4 linked regions of the Cricetulus griseus genome follow. The protein of the gene in region 3 purifies or fractionates together with the protein of the main gene of each other region. This does not show direct contact. Links are inferred from orthologs where the notes say so. Each region holds a gene or a part of one and is shown on either strand. Other genes may lie near its edges.

Region 1 (4,222 bases), on a different chromosome or scaffold from region 3:
GACTACTGTCTCAAAACTTCTAAACTTCCTGTGGAGAACAACAGAATACATGTATTTAATTTTTACAACTGGAACAGATAATGATCTCATCCAATCTCTCAACTAAAGAGCGAAATCACAGGTCTCCAAACGGAATGACCTGTCCAAATAGGTTCTGACATAATCAACACAGCACCTAATTTCCTACATACTCAGTTTAATGCAATTTTCACCAAACCACATTGTTTTAACCATGCCACCCTCAATGCAGTCTACAGTTCAGATTTTTTTCACTTAGGTACACGAAGGTTAAAAACTGAATGACTTTTTAAAAAATTAAGTACCCATGTAGAATTCTGAGACACAGAACTGATATAATTTGACAGCAGAGTTAAATTTCGAAAGTGAAGAGACACAGTTCTAAGAGCACAACGATGAAAAGCATCTGCTGTCTTAAAATGTGTATCTACTAAATTATCCCACATCTGGTCTCTAGCTAGAATTTTTTTTTACAGCACAGTTTCTACTTATCTTCATATAATGCTGATTCCATTATATTGTTATTGAGAAATAAATAACATGGTTCTCTTAAATCACTTTTTGTGTGTTAGGATTGAAGCCAGAGGCTCAAGCATGGTGGGCAAGAATTCTATTACTGAGTTACACACCAAGCCACTATTTTCTTAATTTAAAAGGTGATATACTTGTCCATATAAAACACTGAAAGCAACATAAGATTGTTTTTGTGTTGGGTCATCCTTCTATTTTCCTATGATTTAAACTAGAAGTAGAATGTAAGTTGAAAAATAGCTACTGAGTGCCCATGGTGCAAAACTGTTTAGTCAGAAAGGCCTGAATTAAATCAAGGCTATGAAAATAAACTAAGCACTAAAATGAAACAAATTTCAAAACTGTACCAGCTTTGGGCTGAGAGCATCAAATTGATGACTGTTTCCCTTGCAACTTGCAGGCCTCAATGAAGCAAGATTGTGAAAGCTTTAAAAAGAATCAAACAAAGTAAGTTTGTGGAAACAAGTGGTAGACCATGAAGTACAAGCTATTATTATATAACAATTTGTAGTCTCCAAGCACAGCAATTCACCAGAGTATATGCAAATGCTTACTTAAAAACTGCAATTCTTATATAATGACTCACTGAAGTTTTAGTCTTAAAAAAGAATGTTATCCATGAAAGCTGCATCAACTACCCGATTCTCAAAAAAGGAATTTATCTTAGCTTCAATGGGGGTGGGGAGGCACACATAAAATGTTTTCCCTCTTCAAAAACAGGCCTTCTTTTAGCATGTGACCTTAAAGCAGGTCACCCTTCCTCTCTGGAACTTGCTTGCTAACAATGTGTCAGACACTAGGCTGGATTTTCTGCATACACTGCTTAAACTGGATTTGTCACACTAAGCAGAGGGAGACAAGTCACACAGTGGTCTATGCCACACACTGAATCCTCTTGTCTTAAACCTTTCTCTTCCCACCACTCTTCTTGTAAGACAGTCATGTTCTCAATGAACACAGTGATCTCTAAAGTTTCTTTCTGCGATGAAAAGATGTGACTTAGTAATTATCTAAGGAAAAATATATTTGCTGAGTGTTAATTAGCTTGCAACTCTTAACTCCTTACTACAATAATTAAAAGTTTTAAAGACAACTTTAGAGTGTAGATTTCAATAAACCCCACACTACCACAGAGAAAACATAAAGTGTTTAAAAATAGGACAAACTCATAGGAACTGCATGAAAGTATTTCTAACTAAAGTTTTAATGAGTTCTAAACTGCATTTTAAATATAAATACACATAGTCTTTTATTTTGGAAATACGAAGACTCTTAGAACTAACTGATGCCCACTGCGGATGTGAAAACAGGTGATGGATGTATCGAAGACACTCTGAAACGTTTGTTCTGAAATTCAAGGTGGAGATTTAATTTATTCGGCTTTTCTAACAGCTATGTCTGGTGCCGTGTTATATTCTGTCACCATAATCATTACTTGCCTCTTCAGAATGCGCCACTTTGATAGCACATTTCAAACATCCCTTCACAACAGACTCATGTCACTTAAGAATGGAAGTCATCCCCATTAGCCCAAGAGAAGACAGAACTACTCTATGGTATCAGAAAGAAGAATTCCGGACCAGGGAAAACTCCGTGGGACGCTTTCTTCACCAGCCTGTCCCCGAGCATCCTTTCGTGTCAGCCACTCGCAGCCTTGGCCTTAAACACCACGGCTAGGGAACCGAAACTCCGCAGCCGCCAAACTCTGCTCGCTCTATTGCGGATCATCGCACAGTTGAGCACACAAGCGATCAGGTATAGAGTCACACATGTAATCAGGTACAGAGTCACAGATTCCTATCAACGATGAAGCCCGTCCAGGAGCCGCCCCCGCCCCCGATCCGAGGCGGCGCGGGGCTGCAGGGCCCGGCCGGCCTCGCTCACCTCTTCCACCTCGATCTCCTTGTAGTCGATCTCTTCGAAGTTGAGGACCTGCGTTGGCGCTTCGATCATCTCACTGGCAGAAGACGAGGAGGAGGACGAGGCGGCGGAGGCTGTCGACATGACGGCGCCCGGGGGGCCGCACTCGCCCACCCGCCCGCGCGCCGCCCTTCAGCCCCGAGCCGGGCCGCCCCGCAGCCGGGCGCTCCGTGGCGCGGGACCGACCCGGGCCACCGCCGAGTCCCGGCTTCGGCTCCTCGGCGCTTTCCGTCGTCGAGCCCCGCCCACCGCACTTCCAGTTCCGGTTTGGAGTCGGAAGTAGGGGAGGGAGGCAACGCTTGAGGAACCGGAGGGGGAATTTTGAGACTTGGAAAGAGCGAGAAAAGCCGGGTTAGGGGTGGAGTGGAAGAGGGCGCGAGTGGCTCTCTGGGCCTGTGGGACAAATCTCGCGAGACTTTGGTTGGAGGCCCTCGGCTGCCGGGCGGTACCGCGATACCTGACGCGGTGACGTGAAGAAAATGCGCGAGCGGAACGAGAGAGAAGGCAGTTGGGGTTGGTCGCGCTGGAACCCGCGGGAAAGATGAAATCTGTCGGTTTTTATTTTGAGTTGTGTCGTGCCTTCCCGCCTCTGTTCCTAGCGGTCTGCAGACAGGCAGACAGGCGGTGTTTTGTGTCCTGTTCTTTTTGGCGCATCTTGATTTTCACTTTCACGCGTGAGCTGTTGAAGAAGCTTTCAAGTTTTGTAGAACTGTTTCCGCGGTGTGGCGTTTGCGGCGTTGTGTGTGTTCCTTTGAGCTGACCCCCGAGCCTGTGAGGGATTCGGGGCGGAAAAAGAAGCAATGAGTGCGAACAGCCTGAGGAACACCATGAAATAGGAGTGCTCACCGATAGACGCTAACGGTGTGCTGTAACACTGATAAACTCAAACTGTTTAACCTTGTCAGGTTCCCGAGGCTGTCGCCCGCAGCAGCTCGAAGAGTTTGTTTTGAGAGATTTCTCTCGCACGAGGCCGGATCCTTAGACGCACCAAGGAGAAGAATTCTAGGAGGAGCCAGTGCGAAGCAAAGCTGGAGAGTCATTCTTCACTGTCCTTACAATGTTTATGTACAGGATTTTTGTGACCTTTGAAGGCATTGTCTTTGAAGGGTTACTACGGACTTTAAGGGAGATTCCTGAAGGGTACCTGGCAAGCATGATTCCAGGAGTTAGGATAACTTCACCGGAAACGAAATTAATACTCTGGTTTTGTGAGGTTCCCAGAAAGTATCTAGGAAAGGACTAAGGCCTTACTTAAAGGACACAGAGGCTTGAACCTTAAGCAAGATCCATTGCTAGTTCAACATGAAATATCTTTATATAAAGGGATGTTGCCTTTATGTTGGCAATCTTCATAGCAAGTGTTATTTGTACTGGAATTCTTTAACTTGGTGACGAGCTCCGACTTCTGGGTGAGGGGCTCCTTTCCCTTAGGTCCCATAATTTTTCCTTCCCTGCCTTCATACAGTACTCTGCAATAATTTTGCGATTCAAGTTAGATCACAGCACCCTAATTATCCTTGTATGACCAACACAAGTTTTAGTTTAAGCTAGGTTTAGTTGATTTGACTCAAAAAACTAGCAAGAACATGAGAAGATTTAGTGCCCAAGTACTAACTCTGAGAATGCCAAGTCCTGAGTTTACTAGTACTGGTGGAGATCCCAGTTTTACTCCAAGAGACCTTTCCAATGAAAGAGTAGCTGTCTGAGTTAATCCAAGTATAAGTAAGTTAGAATGCTTGGGGTTGCAAGTAGA
Region 2 (4,280 bases), on a different chromosome or scaffold from region 3:
AGGGACACATGCTTACTATTCAGACTACCAACCTAACGTGCACACACTCACGTGCACACACACATGTAAACCAAAAACATGGAACACACACACAATGGGGACAGGGCCAGCCCTCCATCCTTCTACACACACACATCCATATATACACACAAGCTGGGAACACACTACCACCAACAGTCTGCTCTCCTCATCTCTGCCAACACAGGTGTTCTTTCTCTTATACACAGGAGACATTGCATACCTAGGAACCAGCATAGCGGAACTGCCCAGCATGGGGTCCTTATATGTGTGTGTTGGGGGCGGGTCTTGCCTCACCCAACCTCCTGGGACACTTTTGTTCAAATCCTGTATCCTCCATGGGCTTTCCCTGAGCAACCCTGTGCAGAGTTCCTCATCCTACTAGACTACTCTACAGGATCAGGAATTTGCTCGGTGTCTAATGATGGACCCCTTATTGCAGCATCAGCCCCACAGGACAGGAACTTGGTCTGTTTTACTTACTGCTATGTTCCTGGCCCTGAGAGCAGATACAGTACACAAGTGATGACACTCATTCACTCCACAACTGACACAACTGAATAGGAACAGTGCACCTGCCTCTACCCACCCTATTCACACACAAGCACCCTTGTGTGCCCACCTATTAGGGGAGCCCATTTCATCCTCCGGGGGTTCGAAGCTGAGCCAAAGAAGAAATGGGAAGGCTGGAGGGCACAGAGAAAGTACAGCCAGACTCACACTGCTGTAGTGAAGGGAGAGGAAGTGACAATGAAGAGACAGAACACACACACACAGCATGAGGTGGGGATGGACAGCATTCTGCAGCAGGGGCAGCGGTTAGGTCAATGTGCAGATATGCAAGCAGCAATGATAAAAAGGCTGGTACCTGCTCGCTGGGACGGGGCAGGAGCAGGGCTTAGAGTGATCACAATAACTGGATGGGGAAAGGAAGAAAGAAAAAAAAAAAAACCACGATAAATCACAACAGAAATAACTGATTTGTTCAACAGAAAAGAAATCAAATCATAATGAAGAGGAGGGGGAGGCGCAAGGCACTGAACTGCAGAGATGGGTAGAAACCGACAGAGATGGGAGGGTGGGAGGAAGGCATGGAGTTGACAGACACAGACACCTGCAGGGGGCTCCTTGGGGCCTGCCAGCCACCAGCCTTACCAGGTCTCACTCTGTTCTAGGGACAGACACCTGTTAGGGTGCCTAGAACCCCATACCCAACCCTGTCTCATCCACTCTGGGGCTGGGGAAGATGGCTATGCAGAGACCAGCAGGGGGCTTCCAAAGCTTGGCCCTGCTTCTTGTCCCAGGCAGAATCCAGGGGAAAGCATCCCGAACTCTGGGTATCCCCAGGCCCTGTAAGAAACTCTCCAGGGAGGAAAACTGACAGACTCAGGCCAGAAGAGGGAAGGATGGAGGGAACCCTGGAGAGGGATTAGGGAAAAGATCAGGCTGTGAAAGTTACCAAGAGACCAGGGAGTGGACAGATTTCTCAGCTATGGGAGGCTGCCTTTCCCCTCTTACCAGGTGACCTACAGACAATTCTAATAATGTACTCCAAAAATTATATAACACAGGAGTATAAAGAAGACATTGTTTGGGATCAAGAGGGATACAAAGAGGGTTGGCAAGGCATGGATCACAGGGTTGGTGAGGAGGGAGAAAAATCAAATTCCCTTCACAGAGAAGACTTGGGGACAGGGGTATCTGGGATACAACAAGGACGCTAACTGTGGTCATGATGATGACAAGCCGGGTGTGCATATAGGAAGAAGGGGGAACAGCTGTTGGTACAGGACCATATGTCAGGGAGGCAGGCCCAGAGAAGGAAGAGGCAGAAGGGAGGTGTGTGTCTGTAGGGTGGGACTAGATACATTCACACTGACCACAGGTGTCTGCAGGACTAGCAGTCACTAGGGCCCAGGAGACAAAAGCTGCCAGGCTGAGGAATGGCTATGTGTTTCCAGAGGGCCATACAGCAACCCTGAGGCTAGCTGGTCACAGAGGTCTGAGGTGCCCCTGTATGAAGGAGGCAGTCAGCTGGGCCCAATGACAAGGCCCCTTCCAGGTTTAGGAAAAGGAGCCATCAGATATGACCACAGAAGTCAAACGGAAACTCCTCTATTCAAAAACTAATTAGATGTAAATGAGGGCTAAGTGACCTGGGTGGGCAGATGGGTATGCATGTGCCTGGACTGTCTGCTAGGGGAGGGGAACCTCTTGACAATCACAGAAGCAGCAGGAGTGGAACCACCGGGTCAAAAGAGATATAACTATTTGTAGGGTTGAAAGACTTGGCTGTGATCTCGGAAGCTTCGGGTCTGAAAGCCTGCTGGGTGCAGGTGACGAGGCACTGGGGGCCGACCACCGGGTGAGGGGACCCAGCGGCTAAACTCCCATGTCCTAGTGATGTGAACCCCAGGGTCTCGGTGTGTGTGGGGAGGAAGTCGCCCTGGAGACTGCCCACCCGACTCCCAGGTCACCGTGACCCTCTCTCTGCAAGCTGACAGCGGTAGGGAATAGAGGGGAGGAGAGCTAGCGCCCCGGAAGCGGGGGCGGGATCTGCCTGGTGGGCGGGGCCTGCCACAGCGCGCCCGCCCCCCCGCCCCCTCCCCACGCCGCCGTGCTTACTGGGCCTGGGCCGCTGGGGGCTGATATCCAGGTTGAGGTCGATCCTCCTCCGGGCCTCGCGGTTCTCCTGCTTCAGCTTGGCTTCCAGGCGGGACAGCTTTTGCTCCAGGGAGGACGCCGCCATCTTCCCCGCCGCCGCTCGCCGCCAGGCCGCCCGTCAGCCCGGGGTAGACAAACACCGCACTGCGCCTGCGCTCCAATGACCCCGCCGAGCCTCCGTCCTGCCCAGCCCAGCCCAGCCCAGCCCAGCCCAGCCCAGCGCGTGCCCGCCCTGCCTCGCGCGGTTAGCGCCGCGCGTGCGCGCTGTGTCCCAGTAGGGAGCGGACGCCACCTAGAGGTCCAGGCTGGCAGTGTGCGTTGTCCTCACCCACAGTTGCCTCCCGCAGTGCGCATGCGCGAACTCCCAGCTTTTCTGGCAGAGGCGCAGTTCGAAAAAGCACGGTTTTTCTTTTCTTTTCTTCCTTTTTTTATGTAGCGGAAGGCGGGCAGGACGGCAGCATACATGCAGAAGGGGAGACCTGCCACGCGCGCGGCCTCTACTGCGCACGCTCACGGCCGTTCCCGGATCCGTGTTCACACAGTACCTCCGTTAACTTCCTGCGGGCTTTTCCCAGCCCTGGCCCTCCCTGGCATCCGCGTACATAGAGCAACCTTCCTCGTCTTGCTCAGCCCTTCATTAGGCCCTGTTATGCTTAATTGCGACCTGACCTCCCACTGTCAACGTGAAGTCGTCTCCTCACCGTAAAAACTAGGCACCCGTGGGAATCCCTTTCCATTCCAGCCGGTACAGAGTAGAGCAAGGCCTGACTGGAGGAGAGGGAATCCAGAGCTGGCGATTCCTGAGCTCCGTTAAGGCCAGACTTCCTGGCCGTGCCTACTTGAGACCTTGAGACGCCCCATCCCCATCTCTTCGCCCTCAGAAGCTGGGCTCAGCTGGGGTTAGATGCCTCTGCCGAGTGTGCTCCTTGCCCGGCTTAAAGAGTTAAGTAAAAGGTGCTAGGGTATCGTCTCTATCTGTAAATCTGGGTGGCTAAGGAGCAGTTTGCCTCTAGGTTTTTAGGGCAAGGAGGAGGCTTGCAATGTACAGGGACATTCAGCAAGTGACCATACCCAGGAGGTTAGGCTGTGCCACCACTCTGAAAGTAACAGTGAACACTTTGGGATGGGCCTTTAAAAAAGGCTTACTCTCTGGCAATGACCTACAAGTGGAGCAGAAACATGCTTGGAGTTAAAAGGATAAAAGGAGGAGGGAGGAGAGGAAATTGGATTCTTTGTTTTGTTTTGGCTATTCGAAACAGAGTTTCTCTGTGTAACCCTGGCCTTCCCGGAACTCGCTCTGTAGACTAGGCTGGCCTCGAACTCAGGTTTGCCTGTCTGAGTGTGGGGATTAGAGGTATGCATCACCATCAACTGACTTTGTGTGTGTAGGGGGGCAGTTATTTAGAAAAAAAAATAGGCAGAAAACTCTATCTAATTTATCTTGATTAGATGAGGTCTCTACATCACCCTCTATTTAAGTACCTGGGATGTCTTTCCTCCCAGGAAAGCCAGCCTGATTTGACAGGTAGGTGTTATTGTTTGGACCTGGCTATAGAAAGCTTAGATAGCCATACTATACAAAGAGGTCAGAATTACAG
Region 3 (3,022 bases):
GCCCCGGCCTCCCACCTGCCTCTCAGAGGACTCCACCCCAGATGAGCCTGATGTCCACTTCTCTAAGAAGTTCCTGAACGTCTTCATGAGTGGCCGCTCTCGCTCCTCCAGTGAGTCAGTGAGCAGGGAATGGTGGGGGGGAGCCTGGCCAGGGAGAGCTGAGATGGAATGGGGCCTCAGATATCACGTAGTCTGTCCGAGAGCAGGACAGAGCTTCCTAGTTGTCCCGAGCTGAGGTCACCTCCTCCAGCCTATTGACTTCCTACAGGTGCTGAGTCCTTCGGGCTATTCTCCTGTGTCATCAATGGGGAGGAGCATGAGCAGACCCATCGGGCTATATTCAGGTGAGGGCTGCCCCTTCCTTGCTGTACTGGCCCACCACTGGCATCCCCTCAGCTGCTGGGGGACGGTATCCCCTGTAGGAACTCAGCTTAGTGACAAAATGCTCAGGTGTCATGAGGAAGCTAGGGCTGTGCACTTAACCTGCCCTGCATAGAACCCACACCCCATCTTGCCTCCTCTAGGTGAAGTGCTCACTTTCTGTGGCCTTTTAGTCATCAAGGCCTAGGCTCCCTTCCTCCCTGGCCCTGAAATCTTGTGTGGCAGATGCATGTCTCAGGGTGGCATGTCCCTCAGGAGGCAGCATTGTGATAGGCACATGGGTATTTTGCAAATGTCAATGGCTAAAGAACCCTGATGATCAGTACCTCACATGCCCTTGGGGGTAGGTTTGTGCCTCGACATGAAGATGAACTTGAGCTTGAAGTGGATGATCCTCTCCTGGTGGAGCTGCAGGCAGAAGACTATTGGTATGAGGCCTATAATATGCGCACCGGAGCCCGAGGTGTCTTTCCTGCCTACTATGCCATTGAGGTCACCAAGGAGCCTGAGCACATGGCAGGTAGTACTTCCCTCTAGTTTGGTCATACCCATCCCCACATCTACCCACCTGACTTGCTGCCAGTGTACATGTACCCCAGGTCTTAGACAGCCAGGGAGGAGAGCAGAGTAATTTCAGTTCTGTTATGCCAGGTCGGGGCATGTGGGGATGGTAGCATCCTCCACTGCCTGAGGCACTCCACATGCTGCACTCTCCCTTCTTGGCTTGGCTCTGAGCCCTCTGCTGATGGCTCTCTTGCTCCTTATGGTATGGTTGCTTTCCAGCCCTTGCCAAAAACAGCGACTGGATTGACCAGTTCCGGGTGAAGTTCCTGGGTTCCGTCCAGGTTCCTTATCACAAGGGCAACGATGTCCTCTGTGCCGCTATGCAAAAGGTACCCAAATCTGACTCCTTGCTTTTTCCTGGGGTGTTTGTCCTCAGCCAGCCCACACTAGGGAAAAGGACACAGGGATCTGGAGGCAGTGTTATGACATGAGGGATTCATAGAGGAACACAGAGCTTCCAACATGGCTCTGTCCCTCATGCAGATTGCCACCACCCGCCGGCTCACGGTGCACTTTAACCCACCCTCCAGCTGTGTCCTTGAGATCAGCGTTAGAGGTGTCAAGATAGGTGTCAAAGCCGATGATGCTCAGGAGGCCAAGGTGACTTCCTTTAAGCCCCAGCCTTCCTGCCCTGTGTGCGTCTCCTGCTCCTTTATTTCTTGCCTGCAATGTGTGCCTCCTCTCCCTGTGTGCCTGCCCTATCCCCATTTGCTCCTCCTGCCTGTTTCTGCCAAGCTGACTATCTTGTCCTTCCTGTAGGGAAATAAATGTAGCCACTTTTTCCAGCTAAAAAACATCTCTTTCTGTGGATATCATCCAAAGAACAACAAGTAAGTAGGAGAAGCAGACATAAGAGTCCCAGTGGTAGTCATGGGTAAGAATCTTGTCTCACAGATGCCTGCCTTCTCATAGGTACTTTGGTTTCATCACCAAGCACCCTGCTGACCACCGGTTTGCCTGCCATGTCTTTGTGTCTGAAGACTCCACCAAAGCCCTGGCAGAGTCTGTGGGGTAAGTGTGTGTGTGTGGGGGGGGGCGGTTGATAAGGGTCTGCCCAGGGAATATGCCCTGTCACAGGCCTTAGAGCTTCTTCATGCTCAGTGTGTCACCCTTGTCCTAGAAACCCCACTCCTGGAAGAGGCTGGGAGGTACTAAGGAGCCCAGGGTTGGGGCCACTTCCTGGTTAATTAGCTACTGGCCCTTTCTCAACTGCTCCTTTCTTCTTTGGGAAATAACTGCCCAGAGAACAGAGCCAAGCTGTCCGGGAGTCCCAAAGTTTGAAGAAATTGAGTTGAGGCTCCTGGTCGCCCCCAGTGACCCTAACCCTAACCCCAGTGCCCCCCATTTTCCAGGCGTGCATTTCAGCAGTTCTACAAGCAGTTTGTGGAGTACACCTGTCCTACAGAAGATATCTACCTGGAGTAGCAGTGCCACCACCCTCTGCAGCCCTCTGCCCCAGGCCAGTACTAGGACAGCTGGCAACGGACAGGATGTGGCACTGCCACAAGAGAATGGGGGAGTGAGGGCTGTTTCGGGGGGGCAGGGGTATGGGGAGAAGCAGATGCAGTTTATTGTAATATATGGGGTTAGATTCATCTATGGAGGACAGTACAGGCTCTCTGGGGACTGGTGAAGGGTCAAGCTGGGGGTGGGGGTCAGGCCTCTGACTACAAAGGGTTCCCCTAGGAACAGAGGCACTGCCCCATCCTGGGTCTTGTTTCATGCCAGGGATCCTGGCTTTTCTAGCTCTTGGCTCCTGCCTTGACAAAGCCCATTCCACCTGGAAGTGCCCACCGTCCCCTTCCCACCTCACCTAGAGCCCTGAGCTCAGGCTGAGTCCAACCACCTCCGGAGGACTTTCCAGTAAGGAAATGGCAATACATGACAGTCAAGACATCTGTGGGGCCTCTGGGCAGCTCTAACCTCCAGCCTGGCCAGCATGCTGGTCCTGGCAGGCTTGTGTGCGCTAGGAAGGAGAGGGCTACAGCACGCCCTGCCTTGCGGGGAAAGGAGGCCTCTCAGCTGGTCCCAGCCATCCCTGTCACTGTCTTGTCACCTGGCTACTACTATTAAAGTG
Region 4 (3,563 bases), on a different chromosome or scaffold from region 3:
TTTTATATATAAGGTCACCCTAAGTGCTTTAAAGTTGCACAGAAATTAACATCATTTTCTAAAGAAAGTTTTGCTCACTTTTTCAAAGTTTAGATTGAAAATTTGGGTGCTATAGAAAGGCTCCAGAAACCAAGTTGAGGTTCTCTAGAGGTTTGCTTGTGACCTTGGCAGAAAAATAACTGCTCTCCTTACTGTGGCTTCTGAGAAAGAAAACACTTGAGCCTGGCCACCTGAAGTCCAAGTTCAGACGGCCTCTCATGGCAGCTGTGTATCTTGGAGAAATTCTGGTCTTTCTGGGCTATGGCTTCCTATTTTTCTAAATGAAAGACCTGTGCTCCATCCACCCAGAAGGTCCACCTTGCTTCTTTCCCAGGTAAAGCCCACTCCCCCACCCCATGCCACCTCCCTGCCACCATCTATCAAAATGACCCTGTAGCACTAATCCAGATATATATATATATATATATATATATATATATATATATATATAGAGAGAGAGAGAGAGAGAGAGAGAACCTACCCATTTGTAGGTGCTTCATCTAAGTGAAGTGTAAAAGATTCACTGCCAAGATCTCTTGAGGACAGTAGAAGCAGGAGGCACTGCTAGTCACCCAGAAAGAGATGGTGGGGCTCACACCAGGCCAGTTGGTTGGCCCTGGAGTCTTCTCCGAGGGGTAATCAAATGACTTTGTGGATTCAGAGTATCTAATCTATCAAGTGTGCAATTCAAGGCAAAGATTTGGAACAAAGAAAGGAATGTGGAAATCATTGGTTTGTTGATAGCACTGAAACCTTGAGCTGGTACTAAGCATTGAAGAGATGAACAAAGGATCAGGGATTAAGGAAAAGGAGGAAGGGCTCAGAACTTACCATTGGGTCTGGTGGTTGCCCCTGGCAACCTTAATGGAAACAGTTCTCCAGATGACTGGGGAGAGAAGTCTGATGAGAGTACATTTAGGAGAGGACAAGGACATAGGAATTAGATGCAGGTTATCAGTAAGCAGACTAGGGGTGTCACAGGAAAGTGGCTGTTGTTAACTTGGAAGAGAGCATCATGTCTGAATGATGGCAGAAGGTTCCAGTAGAGATCGAGTTTCGGGTGGAGCATCAAGAAATAAGAATAAGAGATACTTGTCCTTCAGTAGGTGAGAAGGGAAGGTAGATGGGCTTGGCTTTTAGCCAGAAGCCCAGATGGTTCCCAGTGGTAAGTGGCACAGAGATATGGGGGTGGGGGCATCATGTTGCTCTTAGGATTAGTCTTCACAGTGAGGAAGGAACATCAGGAAGAGGTGTTAAAAGTATATGGAGAGAGGGATAATATGGGCCAGGTTTCCTGTTTTGGCTAAGCCCCTAAATAAAACCTGTGCATAATCCTGAGTTGTCAAAGTGCATGAAAGGAGAGGAGAAGGAGAGCACCCAGGATTTCACTCTCTGCACCCATTTCCTGAGTAGACCTTCCAAATGAACGCTCTGTAAGACCTGAGTTTGTGTGACAGCCCTAGGTGATGTTCCAGGGGCATAAACACATATTCTGAGAAAGCCTGTCACTTTCCAAGCTCCTCTTATGTGATTTCATAGCCTGCATTGTCTTGTGTGACTGTTTACAGCTTCAGTGTCACTTTCCACAGACATTGTCCCAGTCACCCTAGGCCTAACGAGCACCCCTAGAGCTAAGCAAAGCTGGTGTCACCTGCATGTACAAGTGAGGTCGTCACTCCTAAGGACTGACTCCAGCAACCTTGAGAGTGTAGAACTCACTGACTATGAAACCGAGGTCATGTACATTGAAAGGAAGGAACAACACATCACTAGATGCTGAAGGGATGGGCTGGTGCTAAGTGAAACAGAATGGCCTCTGAAAGCATCATTGTCTAAGGCAGTTTCAGGAGGGTGTGTGGTCTGTGGGAAAGGCCTGAGCCTGGGCCCCTGCCCCTTCCCTCTGTATGCTTCCCGTGGTCAGCCTGTTTCGCAGGCTTTGCTGCCTAGCTATGAGACAGGTCAGATGGTCTCTCCAGCTCTTCTCTCCTTTAGAGACCTGTGAGTCTAAGGTAGCTTTAGTATGAAAATTGATTTCAGTTTGCTTATGTAACATTTGTTTATTTCATGTTTAATCATTTATATCATAGGTTGAATCATTTTTGTCATAATTTCATTTTGAATTATAACAGAAAAACTTATAGATTATGTTGATTTAATGAGCCATAATCATAGTCTTTAAGATGCAGAGAATGAGAGTTTTTGTTAAGTAATTTAAAAACCAAACCTTATTTAAATACTATTCCAAAATGTTTTTGCTGATCCTGTGGGGTGACCTAGTTACTTACTTGTCCACAAATATAAATATAATTTTACTTTGCATGATGGTACTGTATATGTTATGACTATGAAGCATTTCAGTTGTATTTTCCTCAAGAGAATCCTTAGATATTGATCAGTGGAATAAAGTTATTGAACAGCTAGGAACACCGTCTGCAGAGTTCATGAAGAAACTTCAGCCAACCGTGAGGAATTACGTGGAAAATAGACCAAAGTACCCTGGAATCAAATTTGAAGAGCTCTTTCCAGATTGGATATTTCCATCAGAATCTGAGCGAGACAAAATAAAAAGTAAGGTATTCTTTTATTCTATAATTGTTTCTCTAATGTTTGAGCTCTAAAACCCATGTATGTTAAGAACCCTGAAATAGCATCTCTTATGGTCTGACATTTGAATGCACCACAGAGTGAAAACTTAAAGACCAAGAGTCTTGACCTTGCTAAAACAAAGTAAAAAAAAAAAAAAAAAAAAAAAAAAAAAAAAAAGGCCAAAATTAAAATGTCCAGACCAATCTGGACAACCCTTAGGTTATGGGTTAGAAGATGCCTGCAAGTATGAGGACTTGGATTGTGTCCCTAACATCACACAGAAAGCCCACACATAGCTGCATATGCCTAGCAGGTCAGTGAGAGATCCTGTCCTAAAGGAATAAAGGGGAGAGCAATAGAGGAAGACACCTGACTCCCTCTTCTAGCCTCAGAATACATGGTAAAACACACACACACACACACACACACACACACACACACACACACACACACACACACACACACACACACGACTCATTGTGATGTCAGCAATCCAAATTCAAAATGTTTTCAAATGCAAAGAACTTCAGTTCAGTAAGTTCACTTCAGTAAGGATTCTAGACAGAAACTATTGAGTGTGGCCCAGTGAGAATGGCCCTTCCTGCCCTTCCATGCTCTTCCTAGACTGTGATCACCTGAGAAAAAACAATGGCTTTGTCTCCTCTACCTCAGGGTGAGCAGCACCTGGGTCAGGAAACCCTAGCCTTTCCTTGGTTGTATATTGTGAGCTTTTCATTGAGACCTCATTGAGCCTTCTGCTTAATTAAGTTGAGCTTGTTGGTTTTTTTTTTTTTTTCCTAACTACTAGCCCCTAGATTGAAAACAAAAAGTGTATACTGTCAGCATTGTATATGGCTAGGCAAAGCAGAGAAACCTCTGGGCTGTGGGTACTGGGAACATTTTTACATTGTTCTACTGTGACAGAAAAATACTCCTGG

The links.
Region 1: the proteins of Mapk8ip1 (region 3) and Map3k7 purify together in Homo sapiens (pull-down; 3 studies listed by BioGRID and IntAct, with this or other methods). This does not show direct contact. The link is inferred for Cricetulus griseus from reciprocal best matches to the Homo sapiens genes MAPK8IP1 and MAP3K7.
Region 2: the proteins of Mapk8ip1 (region 3) and Map2k7 purify together in Homo sapiens (affinity purification with western blotting; 3 studies listed by BioGRID and IntAct, with this or other methods). This does not show direct contact. The link is inferred for Cricetulus griseus from reciprocal best matches to the Homo sapiens genes MAPK8IP1 and MAP2K7.
Region 4: the proteins of Mapk8ip1 (region 3) and Mapk9 purify together in Homo sapiens (affinity purification with western blotting; 4 studies listed by BioGRID and IntAct, counting the BioPlex papers as one, with this or other methods). This does not show direct contact. The link is inferred for Cricetulus griseus from reciprocal best matches to the Homo sapiens genes MAPK8IP1 and MAPK9.

What each region holds. Positions count from the first base shown.
Region 1 is NC_048595.1:110,111,403-110,115,624, forward strand, and holds the start of Map3k7 (mitogen-activated protein kinase kinase kinase 7), read right to left. Parts: upstream 2,839-4,222; 5' UTR 2,554-2,838; coding exon 2,434-2,553; intron 2,428-2,433; exon of another isoform or gene 897-2,427; intron 1-896. UniProt on the Homo sapiens protein: Serine/threonine kinase which acts as an essential component of the MAP kinase signal transduction pathway. Plays an important role in the cascades of cellular responses evoked by changes in the environment.
Region 2 is NC_048597.1:89,048,733-89,053,012, reverse strand, and holds the start of Map2k7 (dual specificity mitogen-activated protein kinase kinase 7), read right to left. Parts: upstream 2,845-4,280; 5' UTR 2,768-2,844; coding exon 2,644-2,767; intron 935-2,643; coding exon 887-934; intron 1-886. UniProt on the Homo sapiens protein: Dual specificity protein kinase which acts as an essential component of the MAP kinase signal transduction pathway. Essential component of the stress-activated protein kinase/c-Jun N-terminal kinase (SAP/JNK) signaling pathway.
Region 3 is NC_048599.1:84,354,690-84,357,711, forward strand, and holds the end of Mapk8ip1 (C-Jun-amino-terminal kinase-interacting protein 1), read left to right. Parts: coding exon 1-110; intron 111-268; coding exon 269-344; intron 345-728; coding exon 729-901; intron 902-1,164; coding exon 1,165-1,274; intron 1,275-1,428; coding exon 1,429-1,545; intron 1,546-1,704; coding exon 1,705-1,775; intron 1,776-1,857; coding exon 1,858-1,956; intron 1,957-2,297; coding exon 2,298-2,370; 3' UTR 2,371-2,510; downstream 2,511-3,022. UniProt on the Homo sapiens protein: The JNK-interacting protein (JIP) group of scaffold proteins selectively mediates JNK signaling by aggregating specific components of the MAPK cascade to form a functional JNK signaling module. Required for JNK activation in response to excitotoxic stress.
Region 4 is NC_048600.1:64,342,372-64,345,934, forward strand, and holds part of Mapk9 (mitogen-activated protein kinase 9), read left to right. Parts: intron 1-2,424; coding exon 2,425-2,607; intron 2,608-3,563. UniProt on the Homo sapiens protein: Serine/threonine-protein kinase involved in various processes such as cell proliferation, differentiation, migration, transformation and programmed cell death.